Macaca fascicularis: one gene and its partners. The main gene of each other region encodes a partner of the protein of the gene in region 5 in a complex. Links are inferred from orthologs where the notes say so. Each region holds a gene or a part of one and is shown on either strand. Other genes may lie near its edges.

Region 1 (4,731 bases), on a different chromosome or scaffold from region 5:
GAAAGACAGGATGGAGAGACTTTAAATAACTAGTTCAGGGAATCTGAGATAAAGGGAAATGTGTGAGCAGAGATATATCCAAGCAGGAGTTAGTCTGGTCCTGCTGGACCACAGAGAGCTGTCATGGAAGATGAGTGTGGAAATGTTGGCTGGGTGAGATTGGGAGGGGTTGGAATGCTCCTCAGGGAAGGGAGGGAAAGAGGAAGAGAAGAGGACTATGGAAAAGTCTCTTGCGATGGAAAGTCGTGATTATCACTCATTCCCCTCAAGTGGCTCGGGTTACCTACTTTTGCCATAGTTCTCAGTGTTTGAGTATTGTGGTTGGCCTCAAAAATCTCAAAAGGAAGTGAAAGAGAAAGAAGTGATGGAGACCTTTCTGAGGACCTGGCTTCAGTAATGTCATTTCTTTGTGTATTTCAGAGGAGAAGATCTGCAGAAGATGAGCTTGCGATGAGAGGTTTCTTACAGGAAGGGGACCTCATCAGTGTATCCTGTGCTTTGCACTGCAGCCTCTTCATGCTTTTCTGTGGGGCTGGGAAATGGGCCTTCCATTGTATGTCTCTGACGGAAGAACCGTTAGACCAGGTGTCGGGCTCTGCTGTGTCCTTTCTCGGTCTCCTTAACTCAGGCTGACTCCCCAGCTCTTGTTCAGACCTGCTGCTAAGTCATTTCTTTGGGTCTTGTAACTTATGGTAGCCTGTGCTTTAGGCTTTTGTTAATGATGTTAACTTTTAGCCCAGGGAGTGGAAGAGGTGTTGTTCACATCAAGATATTAATGACAGGCCGAGTGTGGTGGCTCATGCCTGTAATCCCAGCGCTTTGGAAGGCCAAGGAGGGAGGATTGCTTGAGCCTAAGAGTTCAAGACCAGCCTGGGCAACATAGCAAGACCCCCTCTCTACAAAAAAATAAAAATAAAAAATTAGCCGGGCATGGCGGCACATGCCTAGCTACTCAGGAGGCTGGGGCCGGAGGGTTGCTTGAGCCCAGGAGCTCAAGGCTACAGTGAGCTCTGATCACACCACTGCATTCCAGCCTGGGTGACAGTGCACGACTCTGTCTCTATTATATGTTATTTAAAATTTTTTTTTTTTTTTTAAGACAGAGTCTTGCTCTGTTGTCCAGACTGGAGTGCAGTGGCGTGATCTCAGCTCACTGCAACTTCCGCCTCCCGGATTCAAGCAATTCTGCTTTAGCCTCCCGAGTAGCTGGGATTACAGGTGTGTGCCATGCCCTGGTAATTTTTGTATTTTTAGTAGGGACGGGGTTTCACCATATTGGCCAGGCTGGTCTTGAACTCCTGACCTCAGGTGATCTGCCCACCTTGACCTCCCAAAGTGCTGGGATTATAGGCATGAGCCACCATGCCTGGCCTTTAATTTAATTTAATTTAATTTATTTTTTTGAGACGGAGTTTCGCTCTTGTTGCCCAGGCTGGAGTGCAATGGTGCGATCTTGGCTCACCACAACCTCTGCCTCCTGGGTTCGAGCGATTCTCCTGCCTCGGCCTCCTGAGTAGCTGGGATTACAGGCACCTGCCACTACGCCCAGCTAATTTTGTATTTTTAGTAGAGACGGGGTTTCTCCATGTTGGTCAGGCTGGTCTAGAACTCCCGACCTCAGGTGATCCACCCGCCTCAGCCTCCCAAAGTGCTGGGATTACAGGCATGAGCCACCGCGCCTGGCCTTCTGTCTCTATTTTTTTAAAAAAGATATTCATGACAACCAAGGGGAGAAGTGAGGTCCCAGTGATGTCCTCTGGGTCTGTCTAAGATTGTTGAGCCTGGACCATTGGAGAGGGGAGGAAAAGATGGAGGTGTGGGGTCAAGGGGCAGAGGCTGCAGAGGACAGGACAGTGTGTGGCCGAGGCTACTGTTTGTTCCTTCATCACCCTGGCCAGGCTGAGGTCCAGGCAGTGTTCTCTGATGGAGCTGTCTCTCTGCACACGAGGAGCCTGAAATATGGAAAAGTAAGTTGGGCTCTTGATGTTCCTGTTTGCTGACTGAGATTGCAAGGCTATTTCTTAATCCCTATAGCTCTCTGGAATTCTGGCCTAAAGAACCCCAGTAGCTAAGCATTAATAGAGGTTGGCATCCCACAAACTGATCGTGTTCCTTAAACATAACATGAGGGTTCACAGGTCAGGGTTCACAGGGTCATGGGTCAGTAGCTTTGTAAAGAACAAGTTTTATCCTTTTTCTCCAGGGAGACTGACTCTTTGGACAGAGGAGCCCGTCCAACTGTGGGCTGGGAGGTGCAGCTGTCTCTCTCCCTCCAGGGGGCGCTGCAGCTCAGCACTGGGGCCGGGGCTGAGGCGGTCCTGGGAACAAAGGGAGGCTGGGCCTGGAGAAACAACCCTTGGACAAGCGTCCAGTCAGTCCAGTGGATGTTATTGCTGGCAAAGCTTGCTCTGTCATCTGAGCCTCTAAATGGAATTTCACTGCTTTTCTTGTACGAGGTTGCATTATTGAAGCTATTTATTATTTTAAGGAGAGCATACTTCCTAAAACAAATTAGGATTTACTAGTCTCTCAGCTTTATCTGGGTGAACACTTTTATTTTCTGAGTGGAACAAAACCTCTTCCCTTAATGGAGTGGCTGCAGCCAGCCACGTTCAAGTACATGGAGTAGGCAGAGGACTGCTGCAGTATGCTGACTTTCGCAACCCTGGGTCCTGTGGACTCGCCCTTGGCAGGACATGCACTTGAGCTGGCCTGCCAGGACCAGACATGGATTTGCACCCAGCTCCACCCAGCTCCTTACCTACCCAGAGGCACACATCTCACAGGCAAGATGAGTGTTTGGGGTTCAGGTATGAGCTAGGGTCCTGGAACAACACAGTGCTACTGGACCAGCAGGAGGCTTCAGCTCCCTCATTGGCTTCAACTTCTCTAATGTCTGGCACCTGAGTTCTGGCTTAGAGTGCAAGGGAGACTGTAAAGGGAAATGACAGAGAAGAGCATTGAAAGTCACCTTCTGCTGGGATGTATGAATAGCCTCTGAGTCCCCAAGTGTTCTCTGCAAAAATGTGTACTATGGGTGTGCGTATAGGCGACAGCAATTGTAAACAGGAAGGACACCAATTTGAATATACTTAGGATGTGTATTCTGTAGTCTCCTTTTCATTCATCCCACTGATGATCCTGTAGTGACCTAGCTTTGTGATGTATTTCTTTAGCTAGGTCAGGGGGTTTTGGTCCAGGTTTCCCCCTCCCTGGTGAAACGGCAGAAGACCCACTTCCATGATTTGCCATGTGGTGCCTCAGTGATTCTCGGTAACAACGGCTTCATCTGGATTTACCCAACACCTGAGCACAAAGAAGAGGAAGCAGGGGGCTTCATTGCAAACCTGGAGGTGAGCAAACACTGTGGCCACTGTCGGTGGGAAGGATGGGACTCAGTCTTTGCTGTGTTTTTGTGGCCAGTGAAATTGGTGGTTTTTAGCTCTATTACTGCTGTAGGCTGAGTCACTTTGACTTTCCATCAAGGTGTATTCATGAACCCCATATTATCTTCTCTCTTCTAAGGAGATGAACTCAGTGAATGGTTCGATGTTTGTTGGTGGCGATGGCAAAGTTGCAGGGTAACGCCGAAGAGCCACTGAAGAAGCCATTCTTTTTTCTGTTTGTTTGTTTGTTTGTTTTGTTTTGAGACAGAGTCTCACTCTGTAGCCCAGGCTGGAGTGCAGTGGCGCCATCTCGGCTCACTGCAAGCTCCGCCTCCCGAGTATAAGAGATTCTCCTGCCTCAGCCTCCCGAGTAGCTGGGATTACAGGCGTGCCCCACCATGCTCTGCTAATTTTTGTATTTTTAGTAAAGATGGGGTTTTACCATGTTGGTCAGGCTGGTCTCGAATTTCTGACCTTGTGATCCACCCGCCTCGGCCTCCCGAAGTGCTGGGATTACAGGCATGAGACACTGCGCCCTGCCCCATTCCTTTTAATCTCCCTTGGAGTTAGCTGTTTGGTTGGTTTGGAGTTCCAGGGTGATATTTTCTGATTCATAAGTAATTTATTTGTGATTTTCTGTGGCTGGTCACGTATTTTGGTCCTGTTTATATTTCCCTTCCCTTCTCCTCTGTGTCTCCTTATAGCCTGTCTCTCTTGCTGATCGAGAGGTGATATCCCGGCTTCGGAACTGTGTCATCTCGCTGGTAACTCAGAGGATGATGCTGTATGATACCAGCATCCTCTACTGCTATGAAGCATCCCTTCCACATCAGGTACTCTCCTCAGGACCTCTCACTTCTTCATTGATCTGTGAGCTGCTCTGTTGTTTGCGCAGAGACAATGTGCGTGTCTCCCAATACTTTCCAGACATCCATCAGTATGAACTGGCCTGAAACAGCCCTAATGAGTGTCTGGTAGATCTTTCCCTAAGATACTTGCAGGATTCTCAATGCGTAGTGTCAGTCTAAGGATTTTAGGGCTGGAGGTGTCAGGTGGGACTAGTTTATGAGAGCAACCTCGGACTGCATCTTACCTATCCCAGATTTCAGCCAGCTTTTGGATGGATGTCAGAATAATTGTTCTTGTCGGCTACATCCCAGAGAATCTTGCTGATGTATCAGGCTGCTTTAGCAGATCATATCTTGTAACGCTTAGTCTCTGAGACATGAAAGGAATACAGAAAGTTTATGTTAACGGCTTGATTTATGTTTGGATTGGCTTGGTGGTCTGTTTATGGTTGGTTTCTCTTCTGAACAAATGCCTTTTTCCCTTTTTTAGATCAAAG
Region 2 (5,428 bases), on a different chromosome or scaffold from region 5:
GTCTGAGCTGCTCTTCTGGACTTTTTTCTTGCAGGTGTTAGAGAAGACAAAGCAGCTTATCGACAGCAACCCCAACCAGCCCCTCGTCATCCTGGAGATGGAGAGCGGTGCCTCAGCCAAGGCAACCCAGGGGCCGGGGCCCCCTCCCCTGGGGCACATCAGCCCTTTGGTGGCTGATATGTGACCTCTGTGGCTCTGAGCCAAGTGGTTGCCTAAGGGCCCACTGTCTGGGATTAAGGTTGGGAGGAGCAGCAGCTCCCTGCATGTGGGAGGCACACCTGGGCCAGGGTGTGGGCAGGGCCCTACACTGGGGTCCTCCACCCAGGCCCTGAGGACTACATCTGCTCTGGGAAGGGGTGGGGGTGGGTGGCGGTCCTTCTGAGGGCTGCAAATGCTCACACTAGTGAGGGTCCCTGCTCCAGCACTATGGTCTGAGCCATGTTCTCCCCACAGGCCCTGAATGAAGCCTTGAAGCTCTTCAAGACACACTCCCCTCAGACGTCTGCCATGCTCTTCACGGTGGACAACGAGGCTGGCAAGATCACTTGCCTGTGTCAAGTCCCTCAGGTCAGAACCACCTTGCACCAGTGGGAAGTGTTGGGTCTTAAGCTTGTTTGCTGAGGCCTGTGTGTGTACAACCTGCATTTAAAAGAGCCTGTCTCCTGCCTGCCTGTTGGTCACCTTTGCCAGTACCCCTTACCTAGGCCTCCTCATTGGTTGCATCTGTCTGGTTGATACTTGGCTTTGCCACTCTGTCCTGTCCTGGCAGGGGCCATGACTGCCCCCTGCACTAGCCGTAAAGTCTGTCTCGGCCTCCAGCAGTATCACCCAGGGCAAAGGAGTGGGTGATGGCTCCTCCCTCAATCCCATTTTCTGTCCTGACTTCCCCCTTCCCTTTCTTTCTTCTAGAATGCAGCCAATCGGGGCTTAAAAGCCAGCGAGTGGGTACAGCAGGTGTCAGGCCTGATGGACGGTAAAGGTGGGGGCAAGGATGTGTCTGCACAGGCCACAGGCAAAAACATTGGCTGCCTGCAGGAGGCGCTGCAGCTGGCCACTTCCTTCGCCCAGCTGCGCCTCGGGGATGTAAAGAACTGAGCGGGGGAGGAGGTGGCTTCTACTGGCTCCATCTGTCCAGCCGGGAGCTCTTCATCTGCTACAAGAACATTTGAATCCTGGGACCTTTTGAGAGCCCCTCCTACCCCGGCCGTACCTGGAACACCCTCACGAGCAGTCCTGTGACTCAGCGCCCCTTATACTTCTGCCCTGAGCCCTCCACATCAGTGCCATCTGTCGAGAACCACTACCCCCGCATTGCTGTTGATCACCACACTCGCATCTGTAGATAACAGCTCTCCAGCCTGAGCTTTCCGTGTCAGCAAGGACGAATCGTTTTTTGCTGCAGAGAATAAAAGGACCACGTGCAATACTTAATGCTATATGATCTCTATCCCTCTTCCCAGGTGGAGCTCGCTGTTTTGACAGCCCTTGGCCCCTGCTGTCTGTAGAATAAATGCTGTGGCTTCTACTGGCTGCTGTAGTGTTCACCTAGTCCAGCCCCAGAACCCTAAATTTTGGGAAAAGCCCCTGGGGTTGCCTCAAACGTTTGTGGAGGTTGAGGCCAAATAGGTAGGGTGACATGGAGCAAGGCGTTCATAATTCAGTAGATGGGGTTAGTGGAAGCAGAGAAGCCTTGGAGCTGCTCTCCCGCTGCCTTCCAGCAGGAGGGATGGATCAGGCAGCCCTGCACAAGTGGGACCAGGGCGCCAGGGACGCCGGCCGTTCTCCCTCCGAGCCTCCAGCAGGCGCTGTAGCGTCGCCCGTCACTCTCCCGACAGCCCTCACGCAGGCGCGCGTCTTTAAGCAACGGAAGAACCAGTGGGTGCGGCAGTGCGTTGGGCGGAAGCGGCTCTCAAGCCAGGAGCCGCCATGCCCGGGGACCACCGCCGCATCCGCGGCCCTGAAGAGTCGCAGCCGCCGCAGCTGTACGCGGCCGACGAGGAGGAGGCGCCCGCCGCCCGCGACCCAACGCGACTGCGGCCCGTGTACGCGCGCGCCGGGCTGCTGAGCCAGGCCAAAGGCTCGGCCTACCTGGAGGCGGGAGGCACAAAGGTGCTGTGTGCAGTGTCGGGCCCGCGACAGGCCGAGGGAGGCGAGCGCGGCGGCGGCCCGGCCGGATCTGGCGGCGAAGCCCCGGCCGCGCTGCGCGGTCGCCTGCTGTGCGACTTCCGCCGCGCGCCCTTCGCGGGCCGCCGGCGCCGCGCTCCCCCGGGCGGCGGCGAGGAGCGTGAGCTGGCGCTGGCGCTGCAGGAGGCACTGGAGCCGGCCGTGCGCCTGGGCCGCTACCCGCGCGCGCAGCTCGAGGTGTCGGCGTTGCTGCTGGAGGACGGCGGCTCGGCCCTGGCCGCCGCGCTCACCGCCGCCGCGCTCGCCCTGGCCGACGCGGGCGTTGAGATGTACGATCTGGTGGTGGGCTGTGGCCTGAGCCTCGCGCCGGGGCCCGCGCCCACTTGGCTGCTGGACCCCACGCGACTAGAGGAAGAGCGCGCCGCCGCGGGCCTCACCGTGGCGCTCATGCCTGTGCTGAATCAGGTGGCCGGGCTGCTGGGCAGCGGCGAGGGCGGCCTGATCGAGAGCTGGGCGGAGGCCGTACGCCTGGGGCTCGAGGGCTGCCAGCGCCTCTACCCCGTGCTGCAGCAGAGCCTGGTGCGGGCGGCGCGCCGCAGGGGCGCCGCCGCCCAGCCCTGAACTAGAAGCCTGAGCAACGACGGACGCAAGCCGAGGACCGTGCTGCCGCCGTCCCTGAAAAGACCCGCGCCGTCGGCCTCCAGCCTGCGTCGAGGTAAGCAGCCGGAGCCCTGGAGAGCACCTGGGTAGGCTCTAGCAGAGCCAAGGCGCCGGACAGCTGTGGTGTTGGAAAGGGTTTTTACAAACCTCGTTAAAGGAACTTTACTTGAGCCGGCTCTTAGCTTCGACCCAGTTGAGGAAACCTGTGAGCGCATCCTGACTCCCAAGTTGGAAACTTTAGCTGGACTTACCTGGAAGCTGGTACCTAGAGCTGCTGTCATTCAGGCCAGCCAGTGACCCCCTCCGATATAACTGGGCGACTTTTCAGAGGATGGACAAGACGACTGTGCCTTCTGTGTCTGAGCCAAAAGAAAGACCCTTTTATATTTGAAAAACGTCTTATGGTGTGGTTCTTCTTGGTCCGGGATTTAAGAGAGCAAGGCTCTTTTGTTCTTGCATCCCAGGTGTCAAGGGTCGCGGCGGCATTGCCTTAAACGGGTTCTGTTCCTTAGGCCCACGTGAACAGGAGACGGGCTGAAAAGAGCTGCAGAGCCTGAGGGGAGCGCTGTGATTTGGAGAAGCAGCTGCCCCCACATGAACCAGAGTTAGGGGAACTGCTGAGATACGACGAGAGTAGGGAGAGTTGGCCGGGCCGGCGGCTCACACCTGTAATCCCAGCACTTTGGGAGGCCAAGGCAGGGAGATCACCTGAGGTCGGAAGTTCGAGATCAGCCTGACCAACATGGAGAAACCCCGTCTCTACTAAAAATACAAAATTAGCCAGCACTAATAATGGTGGCATATGCCTGTAATCTTAGCTACTCGGGAGGCTGAGGCAGGAGAATCGCTTGAACCCGGGAGGTGGAGGTTGCGGTGAGTGGAGATCGCACCATTGCACTCCAGCCTGGGCAACAAGAGCAAGACTCCGTCTGAGGAAAAAAAGTACGGCCCCAGAAGTGCGCTGAGTGCACCTCGTGCCCCAACCTGGCTTGGTGCTGGGTAGCTGAAAAGGGTTTTGCTCTGCGTAGAAGCCATCTGTCCTTGGCCATGTGCAGAATGGCACAACCCGAGCCTCCACTGCTGGTGAGAAGTGGCACCCTGGTCCTACAAGGAAGACCCTGAGCAGCACCGCAGAGGGCAGGTGCACTGCTAGGAAGGCCAGGTACAACCTGACTGACTCACCACGAGGTGGGGTCTTTCCTGTGTCGCTACCAGCTCTGCTGGTTTGGGCTCAAGACTGCATGGTAGGAAGCTAGGTGACTGCCATTTGGAAGGCGGCCTGGTCCCCTCTCTGCACTCAGCTTCTCTAGGAAGGGCCGACCTGGGTCAGCCCAAGGACCAGAATGAGTTTCTGGGGCCACACCCAGAACCCCTGACCAGGAAAAATACAAATTTTATTTTTTCCCTTCTGACATAACGTGTCTTTCTAGAGCAGGTCTGAAATAGTATCACACCAGTGGGGAGAGGACATAATGTAATTCTGAAGGGTGACTTCCTAGAGTAGATGGGGAGTCTGGAGCCCAAAGAGGGCTGTGTGGGGTACACACTGAGAACATTCCAGCAGTTTCAGGGAGATTGGAAACTCAGGGAGATCTGCTGGCTATCTGTTGACTGGCGGTGTATCGGGAGGGGAGTGAAGATCAGCTGTGTCTGCATTCAGACAAGGCTGAGGGTGCCCTCTGAGGGGAGGGGAGGGGAGGGGAGGGGTGGGGTGGGGTGGGGGGTGGGGGTGGGGGTGGGGGTGGGGTGGGGATGGGCTGTCATCTGCCCCTTGCAAGAGAGCCTCAGCTTCATGAGGATGGCGACCTGGTGCAGTCCCAGGCCACCTCCTAACCGTGTCAGTCCCAGGACCATCATCTCGAAATGCAACCTCTAAAGAAGCTAAACCCACCACTACAGGTTGGCCCTCTGCTTGTCTGGCAAGCCCTGTGTTCACTTCCATTGCCCCAGCTCCAGATCAGGCATCTCAGGTTGCTAAGGTGGCTTTCAAAACCTACGCAAGGCAAGGAGCTGTCTATCCGAGAATGCCAGGAGCTGATGAGGCTGGAGGGGTTCCTGCTGCCTCCTGGCTGGCCTGGTCTTCAGCGTGGTTCTTCACCTGTAGGGAAAACAGAAGCAGGATAGTGGCAGAGGGGCCGGAGGCATGAGAGGCTAGGAAAGGGGGGCCACCTACTCAACATCTAGTCTCCCCCACACCCCGATTTCCATTTCCTCCCCAGAGCTTTAGCAGCTCAGGGCTTCTCTATATTCTACCTAAGACCTAGAAACTCAGAACCACCAGGCTAAAGAAAACAGTCGTCTACATGTAGCCATTCTTTTCCCAGATATTACAGGTGTGACTCAGGATCTAGGCAGCAGTGAAAGCCCTCCTGAGCCCAGCAGACCGAACACAGAGCTGGGTGGGTAGATGGGGGAGAGCTCCAGCCCCATTGTGGGCCGGGCATGGCCTGCCTCAGACCGGCAAGAGGTGGTGGTTTTGGATGGGCAGGGAATATTCAGGTACTCTAATGCCACACACAGGGCTGTTACCAGTTCCAGGAAGGTTAGTGTGCCACAGCTTCCCCAGGGGGCATGGTCCATGCGGCAGCCAGAAACCCTGCAGCAGCAGGAAGAGCGCAGGAAGCTGGTTTTTTTTTTTTTTTTT
Region 3 (4,731 bases), on a different chromosome or scaffold from region 5:
AAAAAAAAAAAAAATTGCAGCTGCAAGAGTGAGGTGCTGGAGTTAACCTTGACCAAAGAGCAGGGCAGAGGGTGTCAGTGGCACATAATTGCCTTTGCATGACATACTTTCAGAGCTTCACAGTAAGCTAATGTCCGGGACCACACTGAATGCTTTTTAATTTCCCATAGTGCCTGGCTCACAGGAAGTGCCCAGATAAGTAATAAAAAGTTAATGTGGTGGGCGCAGTGGCTCATGCCTGTAATCCCAGCACTTTGGGAGGCTGAGGCGGGCAGATCACAAGGTCAGGAGTTCCAGACCAGCCTGGCCAATATGGTGAAACCACCCGGTCTCTACTAAAAATGCAAAAATTAGCTAGGCGCGGTGGCGCGTGCCTGTAGTCTCAGCTACTCAGGAGGCTGAGGCAGGACAATCACTTGAACCTGTGAGGCGGAAGTTGCAGCGAGCCGAGATTGTGCCACTGCACTCCAGCCTGGGCGACAGAGCAAGACTGTCTCAAGAAAAAAAAGAAATTTATGTAACAAGGAATTAGCCCCAAAACCACATGGCTTTGGATGTGCTAATTGAACTGTTGTATATCTATTTGTGAGAGACCTCTTGAAATTGTTTAAATGGTTATATCAAGAGTTTAATATTCACTAAACTGGCATCATAAAATTGGATGACTTTCTCCAGCCTTGTCTGATCATGCTTATCGTCTCCCAGCTCTGTAATAAGCTTTGCAGGATCCAGCCTGTTCTGACCTATCCCTACTGAGTCCCCATAGCATTTTGTTCCCTCCTATGGCTCTTACCCTGTGGAGTATGCACATGGAGGACTTCTCTTCCTAATGGCAGGATCCTAACAGGACAGATCTGTGTACCTATCTTTCTATCCTCTCTGAGCCTGGTACCAACTAGATTCTTCATATGTATTTGTAACAGATTAAATTGTAAAGCAAACACAGTATTGATAAAAGTCTGTCTTGAAAACGGCTAGAAAGTGTTACATTTTGACACATGAGCATGTTAGATAACCTGCTTATTACACAAATCTCATGTTCCTTATGTCCCAGTTGGACATATTTGCTTCAGTTACTCTGACAGTTTGGGTTAGTTAACTTGCTAGTTAAGCAGCTAGCAAATTCAGGAAATGTATTCAATAACTCAAAAGAACCAAAAGATTACTTCTCTGCTCTGTCCCCTCCCCTTCACAATTTAATTCCTAAGGAACTGTGATCACCTAATAAATTACACCAGTATCTTTCTATTATTTAAAAACCGGCCAGATAGTTCATCATAAAAGATACGCGACCAACCTAAGTACCCATCAGCCAATGAATGGATAAAATGTGGTATATATATATATCCTATGGAATATTACTCAGCTATAAAAAAGAACCAAGTGTCTTTTGCAGCAACTTGGATAGTATTAGAAGCTATTCTTAGTGAAGTAACTCAAGAATGGAAAACCAAATACCAAATGTTCTCACTTGTAAGTGGGAGCTAAGCTACAGGTAAGCACACAGAGTGGTATAAGACACTGGAGACCCAGAAGGGGGAAGGGGAAGGATAAAAAAACGACATATTGGGTACAATATATAGTACTCAGGTGACTGGTACACCTCAGACTTCACCACTATACAATTCATCCACGTAACCCAAAACCACTTGTAGCCCTAAAATCTATTGAAGTAAAAAAACCGCCCAGTCCTCAGAAAACATCATTAGGAACACATAAAGCTCCTTGGTCTTTATCAACATATAAACAATGAGTTCTATAATCTCTTTCATCCAAAAAGGACTTTCTATGGATAGGCTTCAGCGGATCTATATCTCACATATTCTCAAAGAGGTCTAGAAACCAAGAATCACTGATGTGGATCGCCTGGCAGTCTTTTTACCTTTAAAGGTTTTGGTGAATATACTAAATAGCATAGAAGAGTTTTCTATGCTGAGCTCCTAGGAAATGATTTTAGCAAAATAAGACTTGGCCAGATTTGGATTCAGAAATCCTCATTATTTATATAATAATAAACTATATCAAAATATATCAAATATACTACATCAAAAATATCCTATAACATGAAATATGTGACTAATGAATTTTTAATGGAAGTTGTGAAATGTATCATGCTATTTGAAGGAGACAAAAGTATATTACAAAGTAGCATATAAGCTATAATATAATTTCAATTTGATGAACATACAGAGAATGTAGGCCAAGTTAAATTCTGTACCTCCGTTTCAATTATGAGGATAAGTGTCTTCTGCAGTTAGTAAGAATAAAGGAGTTAATCCATGCAAAACACAATACTTGGTAAATGGAAAACACACAGTATTTCATTGTTATATACTCACCCCCTGAATAATGGGACTACAGGTGATGTTTTGCTGCTTTATACTTTTCATGTAGTCTGCACTTCCTGTGGTGAACCTGGCTTACTATTATAATCAGAAAATTATTTTACTGCTGACTTCCAGTTAATTATGGAAGCTGTAGCAATACTAAGGGAGTTAACTCCAAATATACCATAATACTGTTTTTTAGTAAACTTTATTGTACAGAAACAGAAAATATGATTTTGCAATGATTTTCTCTCTAAAGCGTGGGTGAAAACCAGTAACTTACTTATAAAAATATTTTAGGACTCTGATAATATACATTCACACCTTATCTTCTGAGTATTTAAATGGGGAGAGGTTCACGTGAAAAAAGTATTCCCCAGGAAACCCATAGTTTTTTGCATCAACTGACCTGTAAAAAAGTCCACCTATATCAACTTTCTGCCAATCTGGAGAAGATCTGTTTTCTTTGATCTGACGTCATGTGTTCACAAGCTTCTAAAATGTTTGCCAAAATTAAAGTCTGCTGGATGGTTTTTGCCTTAACCCATATTCTTCCATTCATTCCAAATACTATCTCCAGTGGATAGAGTTTTCCCACTTCCTGTATGATTTCACAGTCTGGAGCTAATAGCCTGGTGGGAAGAGAAAAGGAAATGAAATTTAATAAAGCGGCGAAGGTGTCCAGAGTCTCCTTTAGAATGTGATTCCTTTTCTGAGTTCTCCGTAGTTGTTCAACAAGAACAAGGCACATGATGACATTTGCTGCCTCCTTCCAAGAAACTTTATAATGTTCAAAGGTATATTAGAGATCACAGAGGTGGGCTATCCCTTACGAAGAAGTCAAACTCCCTAGGTTACCAACTTTGCAAAAAATGTAAAAGTCATTCCACTAGATTGTTAGAGCACTTTAATTCTAGACTGAGAATCATAACTTTTTTTGTTACCTACAGTGCTAAAAGACACTTTAAACTTACTTTCCTGACCATATTATTCTCTTGCATTAAATACAGTACTTGGAGAGGAACATTGGCTCTTTCAAACCATAAGGGTGGTGCTTGGTTAATAACATGTTTCTTGGTTAATAACATGCTTCTCTGATGTCCAAACTTAATTCTCCAGATCTTTAGGATACGGAGCAAGGAGAGGCATACAAGATAGCTCTGAACTTCACGGGCTCTAGGAGTAAAGCCCCTGAATATGGCACAGCTTTGGGTGGGTAAATTTGTAAACACCAAAAAGAGAATCTGCCTCAGTGGGAACTGTTAAACTTACCAGGACCTAGTGTCAGAAGCCTTCTGTGAATGGCTACATAACCTTGAACATCACGATCTAAGCTGCGTGTGACCCCCATAATTAGAAAAATTTGATAATTCTGTACAACTGCAGACTGCATCTGTATTCAAGTGACTCAGAACAGGGGAAAGGCCAGTTTTCACATTTGGGCTGAGTCAACTAAGGAACAGGCCTGGGAGGGAAGACATGAATACAGAGTAAGAGCTTAAAGCATGAAGTATTAGCCCACCAGAAACAACACAGCCAAACACATCTGAATTTGATACGTTTCCAAGAAGATAGGATTAAATTCATGAGTTTCCAAATGTGTTAAAATGGATATTGATTTTTAACTTTGAGGAGAAATTTAAATGTTACAAATAATCTGAATCCTGAAGATTAACCAACTTTCCAAGAATGTGTAATTATAAAAGAAGGCAGGCAAGGCAGCAGACATCAGGACTTACTTTCTAATTAAGCCCAGAGTCACTTTAAAAAGCAGACCATCCTGTCCAATGACACCCATTCCGTTGGCTCGTCCACAGCTGTCAATACAGACCATCTCTGGTTCCATGTCTTTATTAGCAACCACAAATTGGCCATAGATGAGATCTCCAACCTACAATGATATTAAAAACCAGTTCATTTCCTCTCAGCAAACTACTCTACAGGTGCTGCTATTGGTTCTTTCTCACAGGCATCAATGCCAGCCACCTACAGTTCTGTGGCTAAGGGACTGACTGTACTACAGGATTCCCACAGTCACTTTGAAGTTGAGTCTTGGGGAAAAAAAGGAACACATGTATCATTCCCTTTCACCAACCAGGAAATCACAGACAAGGAGGCCATCTCAAGGCCAGAGAACACCTCTAGGATTGCACTGTCCAATATGGTAGGTAGCCAATTGTTTAAACTTATATTTAAATTAATTAAAATTAGATATTTAAAATTAATTTCCTGAGTTGCATTAGCCACATTTCAAGTGCTCAACAGCTATTTAAATTAATTAAAATTAGATATTTAAAATTAATTTCCTGAGTTGCATTAGCCACATTTCAAGTGCTCAACTGCTACCATACTAATCAGTGCAGATACAAAACAGCATCACTGTAGAAAGTTATGTTAGGTGGCA
Region 4 (4,990 bases), on a different chromosome or scaffold from region 5:
AGGGTGGGCAGTCCACAGAGCTCCCTGGATGTCTAGTCTTCCTGCATGTGGCAAGGACTGTCAGTGGACAGTCGAAACAACGACCCAGTAATGGCCAGGTGCAGTGGCAGGAGGCCGAGGCAGGTGGATCACCTGAGGTCAGGAGTTCAAGACCAGCCTGGTCAACATGGTGAAACCCCATCTCTACTAAAACTACAAAAAAAAAGTCAGCAGGGCATGGTGGCGCATGCCTGTAATCCCAGCTACTTGGGAGGCTGAGGTAGGAGAATCGCTTGAACCCAGGAGCTGGAGGTTGCAGTGAGCTGAGATCGTGCCTCTGCACTCCAGCCTGGGTGACAGTGAGACTCCGTCTCCAAAAAAAAAAAAAAAAAAAAAAAACCAAAAACCTTCCCCAGGCATAGTGGCAGGTGCCTGTAATCCCAGCTTCCCAGCTACTTGGGAGGCTGAGATACAAGAATCACTTGGACCCAGGAGGTGGAGGGAGCAGTGCGCTGATACTGTGCCACAGCACTCCAGCCTGGGTGACAGAGTGAGACTCCATCTCAAAAAAACAAAACAAACAAAATGACCCAGTAAGAACAGGGACAGGAAGAGCTCAGACTGCAAGGGGAGAAGGGCCTGGGCTGCTCCACAGTACGCAGTGTCTGGCTGCAGAGCCAAGGGTGGGGAATCGGTGGTGGCCAGTGGCAGAGGATAGTGGCCTATCATGGCCTCATACCAGCTGCAGCAGCAGGGCTGTGGCTTGCTCACTCATTCTCATGCCTCTCAGTCTTTCAGGAGAGCATAACCACCTCTAAGGGGATGCTGAACTTGGGCCCCTGCAGCAGACTGCATTTCCCCAGCCCACCTGCTGTTCCTACAGTCTAATATTGACACTCCTCTCACTGAAGGGTGGGGTCCCTGTCCCCATCCCTTAAGCCTGGGTAGATGTGTCTGACTGCCTTGACCCACAGAGTCTGGCAGGAGGGACACTATGTGACTTCTGAGGCTAGGTTCTAAAAATATCATGCACATGTTGTCCATCTCATTGTCCTGGAAGGCTACCCTTGGAACCCAGCTGCCATATTGCAAGGAAGCATGGAGAAGCCACAGGTAGGTGTGCTGCCTGACAGCCACAGATGAGGTCCTGGCCAGCCACCAGCATCAGCCACCAAAGATGTGAAAGAGAAAGCTTTAGGATGGCTCCAGCCCCAGCCACCATCTGGCAGCAACTGTAGGAGAGAGCCTACGTGCAAACTACCTAGCTGAGCCTAGATAACCCAAGACTGCAGGACATAATAATAGAATGATTGCTATTTGAAGCCGCTGAGGTTAAGTGGCAAGAGATAAACAGACACACAACCCCTCTCTGGAAAGGATGAGGAAATCTGCAACCTCAAAAGGAAAAGGGAGGCCCACTCGACTGCAGTGTGGAAGCCCGGTGTAAAGGGAGGGCATGAGAGGACTGGAGAGGTGCCAGGTGTGGACCATCCTGGGACACCAGCCTGGTCACTTTTCTAGCACCGCTCTATGCCTTCTCCTGTCAGTGTCGCAACCCACTGGGTTCATCCTTCCACTTCCACACTTGGGGCGCGGGGAAGGGCTGAATGTAGGCACCACTGGTCCCGAGGGCGTGACGGGAATTTCTCCTTCGGCGGGCGCCCACCTCCTGGCACCCGGGACACAGCTCCGGGAACGGCTGCGGGCTCAACCGCTGCTTCCCCGACAGCGCCACCGCAGTTCCCCGGAGACAGAAGTGAAGCCGAACCGCCAGAAACCGTAGATCCAGGGAGGTCGGTGCCGCGAGGAACTCCAGTTCTCCGGGACCGGAAGTGACAGCGGACCGCCGGAAACCGTAGATCCAGGGAGGTCGGGACCGCGGGGAGCTGTAGCTCCCCGGAACCGGAAGTGATAGCGGACCGCCGGAAACCGTAGATTTGGGGAGGTCGGAGCCGCAGGGCGCTGTAGTTCTCCCGCGAATCAGAGAACTAGGCAGAGAGCGGAGCTGGCGGCCGGGCAGCATGGCGGGGCTGGAGCTCTTGTCGGACCAGGGCTACCGGGTGGACGGTCGGCGCGCCGGGGAGCTGCGCAAGATCCAGGCTCGGATGGGCGTGTTCGCGCAGGCTGACGGCTCGGCCTACATCGAGCAGGGCAACACCAAGGCGCTGGCGGTGGTCTACGGCCCGCACGAGGCGAGTGGGCGTGCGGGATGGGAATCGCGTGACCGCGGGATCTGCGGGGCAGCCGGGCTGAGCACAGGTTCGGGGACTTGAGAGGTGCGGCCGGCGCGCCTCAGTCTACACAGCCGATGCTCAGCACTGCATCTCACTCGGAGTAAACGCAAGTCTTTAGTGTGCTGCGCGGTGGTCCTGCCTTTCTCATCGGTCTCTGTGCCTGCGCTCTCCCTCCTCTTTGCGGCTCTTCAACGTGCCAGGCACTCCCCCACTCGCTCCCTCTCCTCTCAGCTCTACTCCGACGTCACTCCTTCTCAGACGGCTTTATCCATGCGGTACTTCTCTCCCTACAATAAACCCTTGTCTTTTGTGCATCTACAATCTCAAATGCCTATTTTGCTTAAGCATTTTCCCGTTTCCTCGCTAGAACATAAGCTTCCTAAGGACAGAAACTACATAAAACTCTCTGGTTTCATTGCTGTGTTTCCAGCGCTGTAACTGTGCCTGGCCAGTGAAGGTATTGAAAGAGTGTTTGTTTAGCGCATGAGGGTAGGAGCTCTGCTTTCCAGGCGGAGGGAACCAGGAGGGCGAAGACCACGGTGGTGAAAACAAGCAAGGCACTCATGCATAACAGAAAGACTGCTGGTGGGGAAAGAGGGGATAACTCTAAATAAGGTTGAGAGTTCCCGGGGAGGTGAGGAATTAGGGTTTTGTAGACCAGGGAAATGATTTGGGATTTTATTTCATATGTAATGTGAAACCTTTGTAAGGTAATTAGGATTTGAGTGTGAAGGTGAGACAGAATCAGCCTTGATGTTTGTAAACTTGGGTTGGCAGGGAATGGGGCAAGGATGGGCACAAGGAAGCCAATTAAAAGATGCCAGAGGGCAACACATGCAAGACAGTGCAAAACAGGGGGCTTTGTTTTGGAGGTAATGTAGTTGCCCCTTGCTGAGGCATTGAAAGTGGAGGGAGAGGCAGACCCACAGAGGACAGTGGCGTGTGAGCTGGAAGGAGTGGGCCTGGCTCATGTGTCCGTCCTCTTCCAGATCCGGGGTTCCCGGGCTCGAGCCCTGCCGGACAGGGCCCTAGTGAACTGTCAATATAGTTCAGCGACCTTCAGCACAGGTGAGCGCAAGCGACGGCCACATGGGGACCGGAAGTCCTGTGAGATGGGCCTGCAGCTCCGCCAGACTTTCGAGGCAGCCATCCTTACACAGCTGCACCCACGTTCCCAGATTGATATCTATGTGCAGGTGAGCCGGCTGCAGTGTCAATCCAGGGAGGGGTGGGTGTGATGGGGTTGGGGAGAGAGTCTGATAGACTCACACCCTGGGGTCCCTGCAGGTGCTACAGGCAGATGGTGGGACCTATGCAGCTTGTGTGAATGCGGCCACACTGGCAGTGCTGGATGCTGGGATACCCATGAGAGACTTTGTGTGTGCGTGCTCAGCTGGCTTTGTGGACGGCACAGCCCTGGCGGACCTCAGCCATGTGGAGGAAGCAGCTGGTGGCCCCCAGCTGGCCCTGGCCCTGCTGCCAGCCTCAGGACAGATTGCGCTGCTTGAGATGGATGCCCGGCTGCACGAGGACCACCTGGAGCGGGTGTTGGAGGCTGCTGCCCAGGCTGCTCGAGATGTGCACACCCTCTTGGACAGAGTGGTCAGGCAGCATGTGCGTGAGGCCTCTATCTTGCTGGGGGACTGACCACCCAGCCACCCATGTCCAGAATAAAACCCTCCTCTGCCCACACAACCCTCACTGTACGTTAATCACCCAATAGCACTTCAGAGCCATGTGAAGCCTGGCAGAGCCTGGTCTGGTGCTGGCTCCTGGGGATGACCAGGGCCCCTCGCCCACACATGAACTGCCTATCTCTGTGTAGCCTAATTCAAACCCTGAAAAGAACAGTGGATTAGGGGGTTGCTGTGGGGGAGGTCCTGGGTGGAAAAAGCAACATGTCCCAGTAAGGACTCAAGGCAGCTGAGCAGGAGGCAGGGCCTGGCAAGATGAGCAGGTCATTGGACTGAGGAATCTGTTACCCTTACTCTGGCACATCCGGGGCCCTGAGCAAAGGGCTGAGGGAGAACTCAGCTGGCTCTGAGTACCCAACCTAGAGATGTGGGGGCCATGTCCCATGGCCTCTGGACTATGGCCTGGAGCCCCTTGGGCTTTTCCTGCTGCTTACCTTGGGCTCTAAAAAATGCAACAGCCAGGCATGGTGGCTCACACCTGTAATCCCAGAACTTTGAGAGGCTGAGGCAGGCGGATTGCTTCAGGTCAGGAATTTGAGACCATCCTGGCCAACATGGTGAAACCCCGTCTCTACGAAAAATACAAAATTAGCTGGGGGTGGTGGCACATGCCTGTAATCTGAGTTACTCAGGAGGCTGAGGCAGGAGAATCTCTTGAACCGGGGAGGCGGAGGTTGCAGTGAGCCGAGATCGTGCCACTGCACTGCAGCCTGGGCGACAGAGCAAGACTCCATCTAAAAAAAATAAAAGTACAAAAATTACCTGTTCTCATGGATCACTTGAGGTCAGGAGTTCGAGACCAGCCTGGCCAACATGGTGAAACCCCATCTCTACTAATACAAAAATTAGTGTGGTGGCAGGTACTTGTAGTCCCAGCTACTAGGGAGGCTGGGGCAGGAGAATCACTTGAACCAGAGATGAAGGTCACAGTTAGCCAAGATAGCACCACTGCACTCCAGCCTGGATGACAGCAAGACTCTGTCTCAAAAAAAAAAAAAAAAAAAAAATTGTTCTCACATGGAGTCTTCAGTTTTGACCCTTCTCTCTGCCCACCACTATTTATTTGTTGAGACATAGTCTTGC
Region 5 (4,731 bases):
TTCTCCCACTCAGCTTTCTGAGCAGCTGGAACTACAGGCGTCTGCCACCACACCCGGCTAATTTTTGTATTTTTAGTAGAGACAGAGTTTCACCATCAGACTGGTCTTGAACTCCAGACCTCAAGTGATCCACCCACCTTGGCCTCCCAAAGTGCTGGGATTATAGGCGTGAGCTACTGTGCCTGGCCAGAATTTGATTCTTGATTAGGGTATTTTGACAAGCATTTTTATTCCAGAGAAGTCATTTAGCTTTCCATATTCCATACCTAAGTATAATACTTCCTATTTGCATTACTTGTAAAGTTACTAAAAATATCACAAAACCTAAAAGGTTAACGTTTTTTAATTTTTGAAAATATTCATTATTTTCTGTTAGGGACAGTGACACTTTCATCCAGGCAGGAGTGCAGTGGTGTTATTATAGCTCACTGTAACCTTAAACTCCTGGGCTCAAGGGATCCTCTCTCCTTAGCCTCCCGAATAGCTAGGACTACAGGCGCATGCCACTCCACCCAGCTAACTAAAAAACTTTTTTTTTTTCGTAGAGATAGGGTCTTGCTGTGTTGCCCAGGCTGGTCTCGAACTCCTAGGCTCAAGCAATTCTCCCATCTTCGCCTCCCAAAGTGCTGGGATTACAGGTGAATGCCACTGTGCCTGACCTAGAGTTTGTGGTTTTTAACAGACATGATAAAAATGTAATTAGATTTGAGGTTAGGAAAATCTTAGTATTAAACATTAGAGTAGTTCTGTCTATTTAAAGTATGTGTTCTATGATTAAACGACTCACATAGTATTTCAGATGTTTGGCTTAAATTTTCTAAAATACATTTTTTGTTAACAAACTAGAAGGAGTAACTGCATCTTTTAACAGCAAGAAAAATTACTTTGTGCACAATGTTACTTTTCTTGATAAATAGCCACTGGTTGTAATCAGGATTTATTTTATTTTAAATTCACTATCAGGTTTGGCAAATACGTGTAGACCTACATTTATTAAATCATGATGGAAATATTATTGATGCTGCCAGCATTGCTGCAATTGTGGCTTTATGTCACTTCCGAAGACCTGATGTCTCTGTCCAAGGAGATGAAGTAACACTGGTAAGCTCTTATGTGAACCAGGATCCTTGATACGAATGAATGAGGAGGGTCCTAAATGTGCAGGAAACTTGTTTTTAGTGAAGTTATGTTGTAGATGGCAATTGGGTAGGTTCTAAAAATTTGTTCATAAGACTAAAACTGCATATGGTCAAAATTGCCCTTGAAATCTCTTAACAGTTCCTCTATTGAAACATTTGTCAGTAAGAACATACCGTAGCATGGTTTTCCAGAATAGAATTAGATGACTATTTTGGATTGAGCATTAGATGAAGTGTTTGACTTATGTTTAAGGGCCATATGTGTGAAAAATAAATGAATCTCAGCACAGTGAGATGCTTACCCTGCAAGAGGTATGCAATAGCTGAAAAGCACTGAGGAATCAGCAGATTCATATTTGTCTCCAGGATGTTTGTTCATTAGGCAAAGAGCTGATGAAAGTCCATCAGAAATACCCGGAGGGCTTGTTAAAACATATTGCTAGACTCTACTCCCAAAGTGAAACAGGGCTACGACTTAAGAATTTGTACTTTTAACTTTGAGTTCTTAGGTAATACTGATGTTGCTGGTCCAGGGAGCACATTTTGAAAACCATTGACCTACATTTTCTTTATCTTTTGTTCTGAGTATGTCAGTTTTAATTTATATAAATTACATGCTAGAATAATGAAAGTGCACCGTAGTTGTAGTTTGAATCCTGAAGTTGCAAAAGGACACATCAGATGCCCAGATTTTCTAAACAATGATTCATAATTTTGCTTTTGGGCAGTAGACTGGAGCAGAACCGTTAAAAAGTGAGAAGTAGGGACAAAGGTTTATTAACAGTAGAGGTAATATTCTTTTAGAGGAGGGAGTTTATATAAGGAAGTGAAAAAAAGTAGAAAGCGATTACTACACTTGAAAGATCAATTAAAGAATACTGTGGTGTTCTTGCTAGTGGGAATGTAAAATGGTACAGCCATGTTGGAAAAGTTTGGCAGCTTTCTTAAGTTTTAAGTGTAGACAACATTCTATATTCAGAAAAATAACATTAGAAGGAAATACTTTTTTTTTTTTTTTTTTTTTTGAGACAGGGTCTCACTCTGTTGTCCAGGCTGGGGTGCAGTGGCATGATCTCGGCTCACTGTACCCTCTGCCTCTTGAACTTAAGCAATCCTCCCTCCTCAGTCTCTTGAGTAGCGGGGACTACAGGTGTGTGCCACCCGCTTGACTAATTTTTGTGTTTTTTGTAGAGATATGGTTTCACCAAATTGCCCAGGCTGGTCTTGAACTCCTGGGCTCAAGTGATTCTCCCACCTCGGCCTCCCAAAGTGTTGGGATTACAGGCATGAGCCACCATGGCCAGCTGAAAATACTCCTCTCTTATATGTACATCTTTCAGCAGATTTAACCTTGTAATTTTTTTTTTTTTTTTTTTTTTGAGACAAGAGTTTCACTCTTGTTGCCCGGGCTGGAGTACAATGATGTGATCTCAACCCACTGCAACATCTGCCTCCCGGGTTCAAGCGATTTTCCTGCCTCAGCCTCCCAAGTAGCTGGAACTATAGGCATGCACAACCACGCCTGGCTAATTTTGTATTTTTAGTAGAGACAGGGTTTCTCCGTGTTGGTCAGGCTGGTCTCGAAGTCCCCACCTCGCCTGCATCGGCCTTCCGAAGTGCTGGGATTACAGATGTGAGCCACCGCCCCCGGCCGACTTTATAATATTAAGACAAATTGCAATGGCTTAAAATTGGAAAAAAAAAAAATTCTAGCAATTCCATGCCTAAGAATCTACAGGAGGAATAAGAGCTTATTGTGTTCAGAGACTTGAATGCAAATATTCATAGCATCATGTATTAGCCAGAAACTGGAAACAGTTCGAATGTCCAGCTGGTGAGTAGATAAATAAAATGTCATATATACAAATAATGAAATACTGTTCAGTAATGAAAAGAACTGAGCTACTGACAAATGCTGCAAGGTGCATGAAGCATGCTGAGTTGAAAGAAGCCAGGCGCAAAACATTACAATTTTTTTTTTCCATTTATATAGAATGCTCAGAAAGTCAGATTTACAGAGACAGAAATAAGATAGATCAGTGGTTCCTTGGGGCTAGGGTGGGAGTACACCAGACTCCTATGGACTACAGACAGATTCAAAGGAATTTTAGGGAGTAATGGAAATGTTAAAAAACTAGATTGTGGTGATGAGTCCATAAATATATCCATAACTACACATTTACTAAAAATTGAATCATATACTTAAAATGAGTGGGTTTTGGCTGGGCGCGGTGGCTCACACCTGTAATGCCAGCACTATGAGTGGCCGAGGCAGGTGGATCACCTGAGGTCAGGAGTTTAAGACCAGCCTGACCAATGTGGATAAACCCCGTCTCTACTAAAAATACAAAATTAGCCTGGCATGGTGGCACATGCCTGTAATCCCAGCTACTCGGGAGGCTGAGACACGAGAATCGCTTGAACCCGGGAGGGGCAGGTTGCGGTGAGCTGAGATTGTACCACTGCACTCCAGCCTGGGCAACAAACTTCGTCTCAAAAAAAAAGTGGATTTTATGGGATGTAAATTATATGTATGTCAGTAAATTTTTGAAAAAGGTTTTTGAAGAAGTTGTACAGTTTGAGGAACATGAGTGGCAAAATCAAACAGGCAATTATTAATATAAAAGAAGTTATTGGGTAGTCAAAGGAATAAAGGAACTTCATTTTTATTTTAGTATTTGATGTGCAAGATGATTTTTTTGTATGTTCGTAACTTAGTGACTATAATTATTAAACATTTTCTTTTGAAACAGTATACACCTGAAGAGCGTGATCCTGTACCATTAAGTATCCACCACATGCCCATTTGTGTCAGTTTTGCCTTTTTCCAGCAAGGGTAAGCCTCGCCTTGTTATGGGCCAAAATTACAAATGCAGCTAGGAATTTTATTGTTCTACTCAAGTATGTCATGTTAATATTAAATACTTCGCTTAATATTAAAACACCTTATAGTTCCTTTCTTTCTTTGTAAGGGCATTAGTTGGCAAAGAGCTTTCTCAATAGAAGTAACAAAACTCTTATACTATGATGAAGATACTTCTCAACGTTTTTCTTTTCATGGCATACTTATAAACTTAGGAGTTTACTATGGCATGGTAGTGTTTTATGTTTCCTAAGGATGTACAGGGGTTAAGAGAATTATATGCTAGGCTCTAATTTGGGAAAGTGGGATGACAATTACTGTGGGTTATTGGAAGACAGGGGACTTTGGAGCATATTAGATGGAGTAGTTCTAGGAGTCAGTTACAAGAGGGGATGGTTCACAAACTGGAGGAAAAAAATCTAATGTTCTTCAGTTTTCCAGTGTTTACTTAACTGCTAAATCCTTCTGTGGCTGAAAACTTGGAGTTTTTCAGGTCCATTTAATGGTACTTTCAAATGAAAACTTGAGCCTTAAATTCCTTTAGAAACAAGGGAAGATAAAAATATTTCACACAGTGTTGTGTACAAGGACTAGAGAAAAACTTTCAAGTTTTAGTGATTGTAAGTGTAGAGTTTCATCAGAGGAAAATGGGCTAGCATTGTCCAGTAGAAATAAAATGTGAACCATATATATAATTTTCTTATTTTCCTTTTTTTTTTTTTTTTGTTT
Region 6 (5,236 bases), on a different chromosome or scaffold from region 5:
CACAACCTCCGCCTCCTGGGTTCAAGCAATTCTCCTGCCTCAGCCTCCTGAGTAGCTGGGATTACAGGCATGCACCCCCACGCCCGGCTAATTTTGTATTTTTTTAGTACAGACGGGGTTTCTCCATGTAGGTCAGGCTGGTCTCGAACTCCCAACCTCAGGTGATGCGCCTGCCTCAGCCTCCCAAAGTGCTGGGATTACAGGCGGGCCACCGCACCTGGCCCAGACTTTTCATCTCAGGAAATAGAGGTAAAGCAAAATTCAAAAATATGTGTGTAGGGAAGAAGGGGGTAATCTCAGTGAACAGGGGAGGAAACAGAGCAAAGCGCAGCTTTACTACCACCCCAAGCACAAGCCCGAGTACTCTCATCCCTCAGTAACAGTCACAGGCCATAGTGGTCGTCTGCCACCAGACAGGAGGAGATTGCAGGCCACAGCACTTCCCTCTTCCAATGGCTCTAAGTCACCATCTGTTTCCCAAGGGGAAAGTCGACTGAGGGGACAGGGAGGGACAGGCGGCAAAGCCATCAGAAGTCAGGTGAACTGAGATCAAAGTCGTGGGCAATGTCATCTGGACAAGGACGCTGCTCTCGGGATGTTTGCAATCTCAAGTAGGAGATACCAGACATCAATAAAGAGTAGCATTTTATTCACGTGCAGACCTCCCTTCTGGGGTAACACGCTGAGAAGAAAAAGTAGCAACTTTATTTTGGGGCTGCTTATCTTTTGATGACGGGCCCACACAACCAGAGTTCGGCTTTTTCAACCTGAGAAAGCTTACTTAAGTGGGGATGGGAGGCCGCGAAGGGGATCGGACCGCAGGACTGGAAGCTACAGTTAAAAAACCGGGAAAAGGCCGGGCGCGGTGGCTCACTTTGGGAGGAATCACCTGTAATTCCTGCACTTTGGGAGGCTGAGGCGGGCGGCTCAAGAGATCGAGACCATCCTGGCCAACATAGTGAAACCCCGTCTCTACTGAAAATACAAAAATTAGCTGGGCGTGATGGCGCGCGCCTGTAGTCCCAGCTGCGCGGGAGGCTGAGGCAGGAGAATCGCTTGATGCCAGGAGGCGGAGGTTGCAGTGCGCAGAGATCGCGCCACTGCACTCCAGCCTGGCCAAAGAGCGAGACTCCTTTTCAAAAACAAAACAAAACAAAAACCGGGAAAAGGTTTTATTTCTCAATGACAGCCGCGAGGTGAAACTGCGATGGACTGGAAGTCAAAAATCGCGGGTTCCAGTTTGGGCTCTATCTTGAAGATTTTGGACAAGTCAAACCCGGTCTCTGAATCTGAGGTTCCACATCTGTGAAACAGACGAGTTGGGTCGCTTGACCTCCTTCCTTCCTGCTCTGAACGTAACGGTTGCTCGCAAGGTGCGCTCCGGCTGAGGAGGGCGCAGCCCCGCAGGGCAGGGCGAGGAGAGAGCAGGAACCCGGACTCAAGACAAGGCCCCAGGGCATTGCCCGACCCAGAAAAAGGGACTAGGATGGGGAGCAAGGGCCGAGGCTTCGCCCTTACCTGCCGCCTGCCGACTCCCCAGTCAGCCAAACCGAGCCCCGCAGCCTCTGCCGCCGCTCACTGCCACCGCCTCCGACTCGGCGCCCCGGCCGGGCCCGGCTCAATCCAAACCACCATGGCCCGCCGCCTGCAGTGCCACCCAGCGGACCCGGACCTGCCGCCAGCCCATCCTCAACCACACGCGCAGGCGCAAGCATGGAGCGCTGAAGTTCCGCCCCCGGATTTGTCCCGGGGTAACCTGGGAAATGGAGTTTACACGCAAGGATAAAGAACACCAATTGACGCGTATCTTACTGCGGAACTGTGCCTGGGTTTGGCCAATGAGAAATCGATTTCGTTTTCATCCGGGTTTTGGGACAGCGGCAATCATGGCACCACCTGTGAGATACTGTATTCCCGGTAAGTGAGCGCTTCCCGTACAGAGTCCTGGATAGGGGCCGAAGCAAGAAGCCTGGACGGCCTGCAGTTTCTGGGGGCCCATGACCGATGCAGCATTTTTTCTGCAGGCGAACGTCTGTGTAACTTGGAGGAGGGCAGCCCGGGCAGCGGCACCTACACCCGCCACGGCTACATCTTTTCGTCGCTTGCCGGCTGCCTGATGAAGAGCAGCGAGAACGGCGCGGTAAAGGAAGCGGCATGCCGTCTCCTCTCTCTCTGTTTTTCCCTTAGGCTGCCCTTGAGTTCCAGTCCTTAGGCATGGGCACTGCGGACGCGTCTTTAGAGCCTTAGTGGTACAATGTTGGTCTCTTAGTTTCTTCTAGCCGTATCGCCGCTGTTGTGCACTTAGCCACCACACACTAGTTGTGTTGATCTCGCTTGGTTGTGCTGCTGACCCTCGGGGAGGGAGGTTGGGACAAAAGCAGATGCGAACTCAGTAACCCAGCCCAGCTCAGCCCAGCAGTGCGTTGTATACTGTATGAATGTTGCTTACCTCTCCGGCTTTATCTAGTGCCACTATCTCCACCTCACTGACGCAATCTAATCATACAGTCTTTTCTATTTGTAAAAGTTATAATCACAGTTTTGGCTTGCCCTTTTAAAAAAATTTGTAACACACTAGCTTCTTTCAGTGTCGGTAATGTGCCAAGCTTTCTCCTGCTACAGAGCCTTTGTAACATGCCATCTATCTGGAACGCTTCTGTCTTCTTAGGCCTGTTTAATTCCTACCTCCGTTAGTTTCTGTATTATCACCTCAGAGAAGCCCTTCTGGACCCACTAATTGAGGAAAGGAGTTTTGTGGGATGTTTTGTTTTTGTTTGTTTTGTTAAAGACTTACAAAAAACTCTGTCCCTTTTCTTCCAAGCACTTATGTCAGCATATGATTAGACACTCAGGTATGTTTCCCACTAGACTTCTCCCTTGCTTAAATCTAAGTTCCACGAAGTGCAGGTGCTACCACCATACCATCAGTATCTAGCACAAAGCAGCTCCTCAATAAATGTTTGTTGAATGCGTAATACCTACCTTTCTAGTTTTAGAGATTGATCCAGGATTAGCTCAGGATCATATAAGCAATATTTGAAGGAGCACAGTAGAAAGAGGATTCAGAATTAGAACCGTTAGGTTCTGGCTAACTTGACCTCGATTCTGCTTTGAGTAAGTAACTTAAGCCGTCTGACTCAAGGGGCTTTCTATTCAGTCATTGTTGGGAATGTCCTTAACAGTCCTGAGTTTGTTCATTTGATAGATACCACTTGAGTATTTTCATGTGTCAGGCACAGCGCTGACTTGGTTTCTGCTATCAAAGGACACAGACACAAATTGTAAACAAATAAATGCTCAAATAAGCATATGGTTACACATGTGGTGGCTGCTTTGAAAGAATATTACAGGGCACCTTAAGAACATGTAACAGGCAAATCCATCCTAGTCAGCAGAAGTGACATTGAAGCTGAATCATCTAAAGAGTAGGTTAGAGTCAGGTGGGTGGAGAGAGTGCAATTCTGGCAAAAAGAATAGGTTGAAGAGAGATCTGAAAGTGGGAAGAATTTAGTAAGTTGGGGAAACTGAAAGAAGGCCAGGAGAGCTGAAGCATTGTAAGCAACGGAGAGATTGTTAAAAGATGAGGCTCAAAATATCTGTCTCATACTAACAGCCAATACCATGCTCAAAGAGAAAACTCTGCAAGTATTCACTTAAAACAAGTGTAGCTACTATTTGTAACATTTCTGTGGAAATTTCAGCCTGTGCAGTAAAATAAGAAACAGAAAGAAGCAGTATAACTTTGGAGGAAAGAATAAAATTGTCAGCCAGATGTAGTGGCTCACGCCTGTAATCCCAGCACTTTGGGAAGCCAAGGTGGGTTGATCACCTGAGGTCAGGTGTTCGAGACCAGTCTGACCAACATGGTGAAACCCCATCTCTACTAAAAATACAAAAAATTACCCGAGCATGGTGGCAGGCGTCTGTAATCCCAACTACTCGGGAGGCTGAGGCAGGAGAATCACTTGAACCCAGGAGGTGGAGGTTGCAGTGAACCGAGATGGCGCCATTGCACTCCACTCTGGGCAACAAGAGTGAAACTCCATCTCAAAAAAAAAACCAAAAAAAGTAAAATTGTCAATGATTATAGGCAATATAGTTGTATACCAAGAAATTCTGAGAGAATCACCAGAAAACTTATTGGAAGTTTAGGGATTTACTACAAAAAAAATTAGCCGGGCGTGGTGGCAGGTGCCTGTAGTCTCAGCTACTTGGGAGGCTGAGGCTGGAGAATGGCATGAACCCGGGAGGTGGAGCTTGCAGTGAGCCGAGAATATGCCACTGCACTCCAGCCTGGGCAACAGAGCAAGACTCCATCTCCAACGACAACAACAAAAAAAGAAGTTTAGAGGTTTACATCTTCTAGCAGCATTCTGTAGCCCCCTGGTCCTCCTATTTCCTAAAATTTCTAAGGCCTTCTGCTCTGGCCTATAAATGAATGCATACTCCAGCTCTCACCTGTGTACCAAGACATTCCTATATTACTCTCAAGACACAAATGCTTTGACCCAAGAGTTAGCCAGGACATTTCAGTTTTTTCTTTTTCCCTCCGTAGCTTCCTGTGGTGTCTGTAGTAAGAGAAACAGAGTCCCAGTTACTGCCAGATGTCGGAGCTATTGTAACCTGTAAGGTAAGTTTGTCCTAACTTCCATGCTTAGAATGCCCATTCAGTGCTGAAATCATGACCATGCCAGAACTGCAGTGTCCAGTATGATAGCCACAAGCTACATAAATGTATTTCTGGCGGGGCACAATGGCTCACACTGGTAATTCTTACACTTTAAGAGGCCAAGGCAGGCTGGGCGCAGTGGCTCACGCCTATAATCCCAGTGCTTTGGGAGGCCAAGGGGGACTGATCACAAGGTCAGGAGATTGAGACCATCCTGGCTAACACGGTGAAACCCCGTCTCTACTAAAAATACAAAAAAAATGAGCAGGGCATGGTGGCGGGTACCTGTAGTCCCAGCTATGTGGGAGGCTGAGGCAGGAGAATGGCGTGAACCCGGGAGGCGGAGCTTGCAGTGAGCTGAGATCGCGCCACTGCACTCTAGCCTGGGCAACAGAGCGAAATTCTGTCTCAAAGGAAAAAAAAAGGCCGGGCGCGGTGGCTCAAGCCTGTAATCCTAGCACTTTGGGAGGCCGAGACGGGCGGATCACGAGGTCAGGAGATCGAGACCATCCTGGCTAACACGGTGAAACCCCGTCTCTACTAAAAATACAAGAAAATTAGCCGGGC

Evidence for each region.
Region 1: EXOSC9 (region 5) and EXOSC2 share a complex: the UniProt entries of both Homo sapiens proteins name them as parts of the RNA exosome core complex. The link is inferred for Macaca fascicularis from reciprocal best matches to the Homo sapiens genes EXOSC9 and EXOSC2.
Region 2: EXOSC9 (region 5) and EXOSC6 share a complex: the UniProt entries of both Homo sapiens proteins name them as parts of the RNA exosome core complex. The link is inferred for Macaca fascicularis from reciprocal best matches to the Homo sapiens genes EXOSC9 and EXOSC6.
Region 3: EXOSC9 (region 5) and EXOSC3 share a complex: the UniProt entries of both Homo sapiens proteins name them as parts of the RNA exosome core complex. The link is inferred for Macaca fascicularis from reciprocal best matches to the Homo sapiens genes EXOSC9 and EXOSC3.
Region 4: EXOSC9 (region 5) and EXOSC4 share a complex: the UniProt entries of both Homo sapiens proteins name them as parts of the RNA exosome core complex. The link is inferred for Macaca fascicularis from reciprocal best matches to the Homo sapiens genes EXOSC9 and EXOSC4.
Region 6: EXOSC9 (region 5) and EXOSC1 share a complex: the UniProt entries of both Homo sapiens proteins name them as parts of the RNA exosome core complex. The link is inferred for Macaca fascicularis from reciprocal best matches to the Homo sapiens genes EXOSC9 and EXOSC1.

Annotation. Positions count from the first base shown.
Region 1 is NC_088389.1:13,177,965-13,182,695, reverse strand, and holds part of EXOSC2 (exosome complex component RRP4), read left to right. Parts: intron 1-420; coding exon 421-486; intron 487-1,898; coding exon 1,899-1,967; intron 1,968-3,176; coding exon 3,177-3,353; intron 3,354-4,090; coding exon 4,091-4,219; intron 4,220-4,724; coding exon 4,725-4,731. UniProt on the Homo sapiens protein: Non-catalytic component of the RNA exosome complex which has 3'->5' exoribonuclease activity and participates in a multitude of cellular RNA processing and degradation events.
Region 2 is NC_088394.1:70,113,260-70,118,687, forward strand, and holds EXOSC6 (exosome complex component MTR3), read left to right. Parts: upstream 1-1,886; 5' UTR 1,887-1,926; coding exon 1,927-2,745; 3' UTR 2,746-4,196; downstream 4,197-5,428. Other genes in the region: AARS1 (alanine--tRNA ligase, cytoplasmic), read left to right, coding at 35-121, 454-567, 910-1,095. UniProt on the Homo sapiens protein: Non-catalytic component of the RNA exosome complex which has 3'->5' exoribonuclease activity and participates in a multitude of cellular RNA processing and degradation events.
Region 3 is NC_088389.1:61,541,287-61,546,017, reverse strand, and holds part of EXOSC3 (exosome complex component RRP40), read right to left. Parts: intron 4,492-4,731; exon of another isoform or gene 4,297-4,491; intron 4,219-4,296; coding exon 4,067-4,218; intron 2,960-4,066; coding exon 2,758-2,959; 3' UTR 2,737-2,757; exon of another isoform or gene 2,519-2,736; intron 2,424-2,518; exon of another isoform or gene 2,300-2,423; intron 942-2,299; exon of another isoform or gene 1-941. UniProt on the Homo sapiens protein: Non-catalytic component of the RNA exosome complex which has 3'->5' exoribonuclease activity and participates in a multitude of cellular RNA processing and degradation events.
Region 4 is NC_088382.1:153,748,840-153,753,829, forward strand, and holds EXOSC4 (exosome complex component RRP41), read left to right. Parts: upstream 1-1,892; 5' UTR 1,893-2,000; coding exon 2,001-2,171; exon of another isoform or gene 2,172-2,488; intron 2,489-3,202; coding exon 3,203-3,409; intron 3,410-3,500; coding exon 3,501-3,860; 3' UTR 3,861-3,908; downstream 3,909-4,990. UniProt on the Homo sapiens protein: Non-catalytic component of the RNA exosome complex which has 3'->5' exoribonuclease activity and participates in a multitude of cellular RNA processing and degradation events.
Region 5 is NC_088379.1:126,880,355-126,885,085, forward strand, and holds part of EXOSC9 (exosome complex component RRP45), read left to right. Parts: intron 1-963; coding exon 964-1,101; intron 1,102-3,892; coding exon 3,893-3,975; intron 3,976-4,731. UniProt on the Homo sapiens protein: Non-catalytic component of the RNA exosome complex which has 3'->5' exoribonuclease activity and participates in a multitude of cellular RNA processing and degradation events.
Region 6 is NC_088383.1:106,396,862-106,402,097, reverse strand, and holds the start of EXOSC1 (exosome complex component CSL4), read left to right. Parts: upstream 1-1,864; 5' UTR 1,865-1,886; coding exon 1,887-1,917; intron 1,918-2,024; coding exon 2,025-2,140; intron 2,141-4,555; coding exon 4,556-4,630; intron 4,631-5,236. UniProt on the Homo sapiens protein: Non-catalytic component of the RNA exosome complex which has 3'->5' exoribonuclease activity and participates in a multitude of cellular RNA processing and degradation events.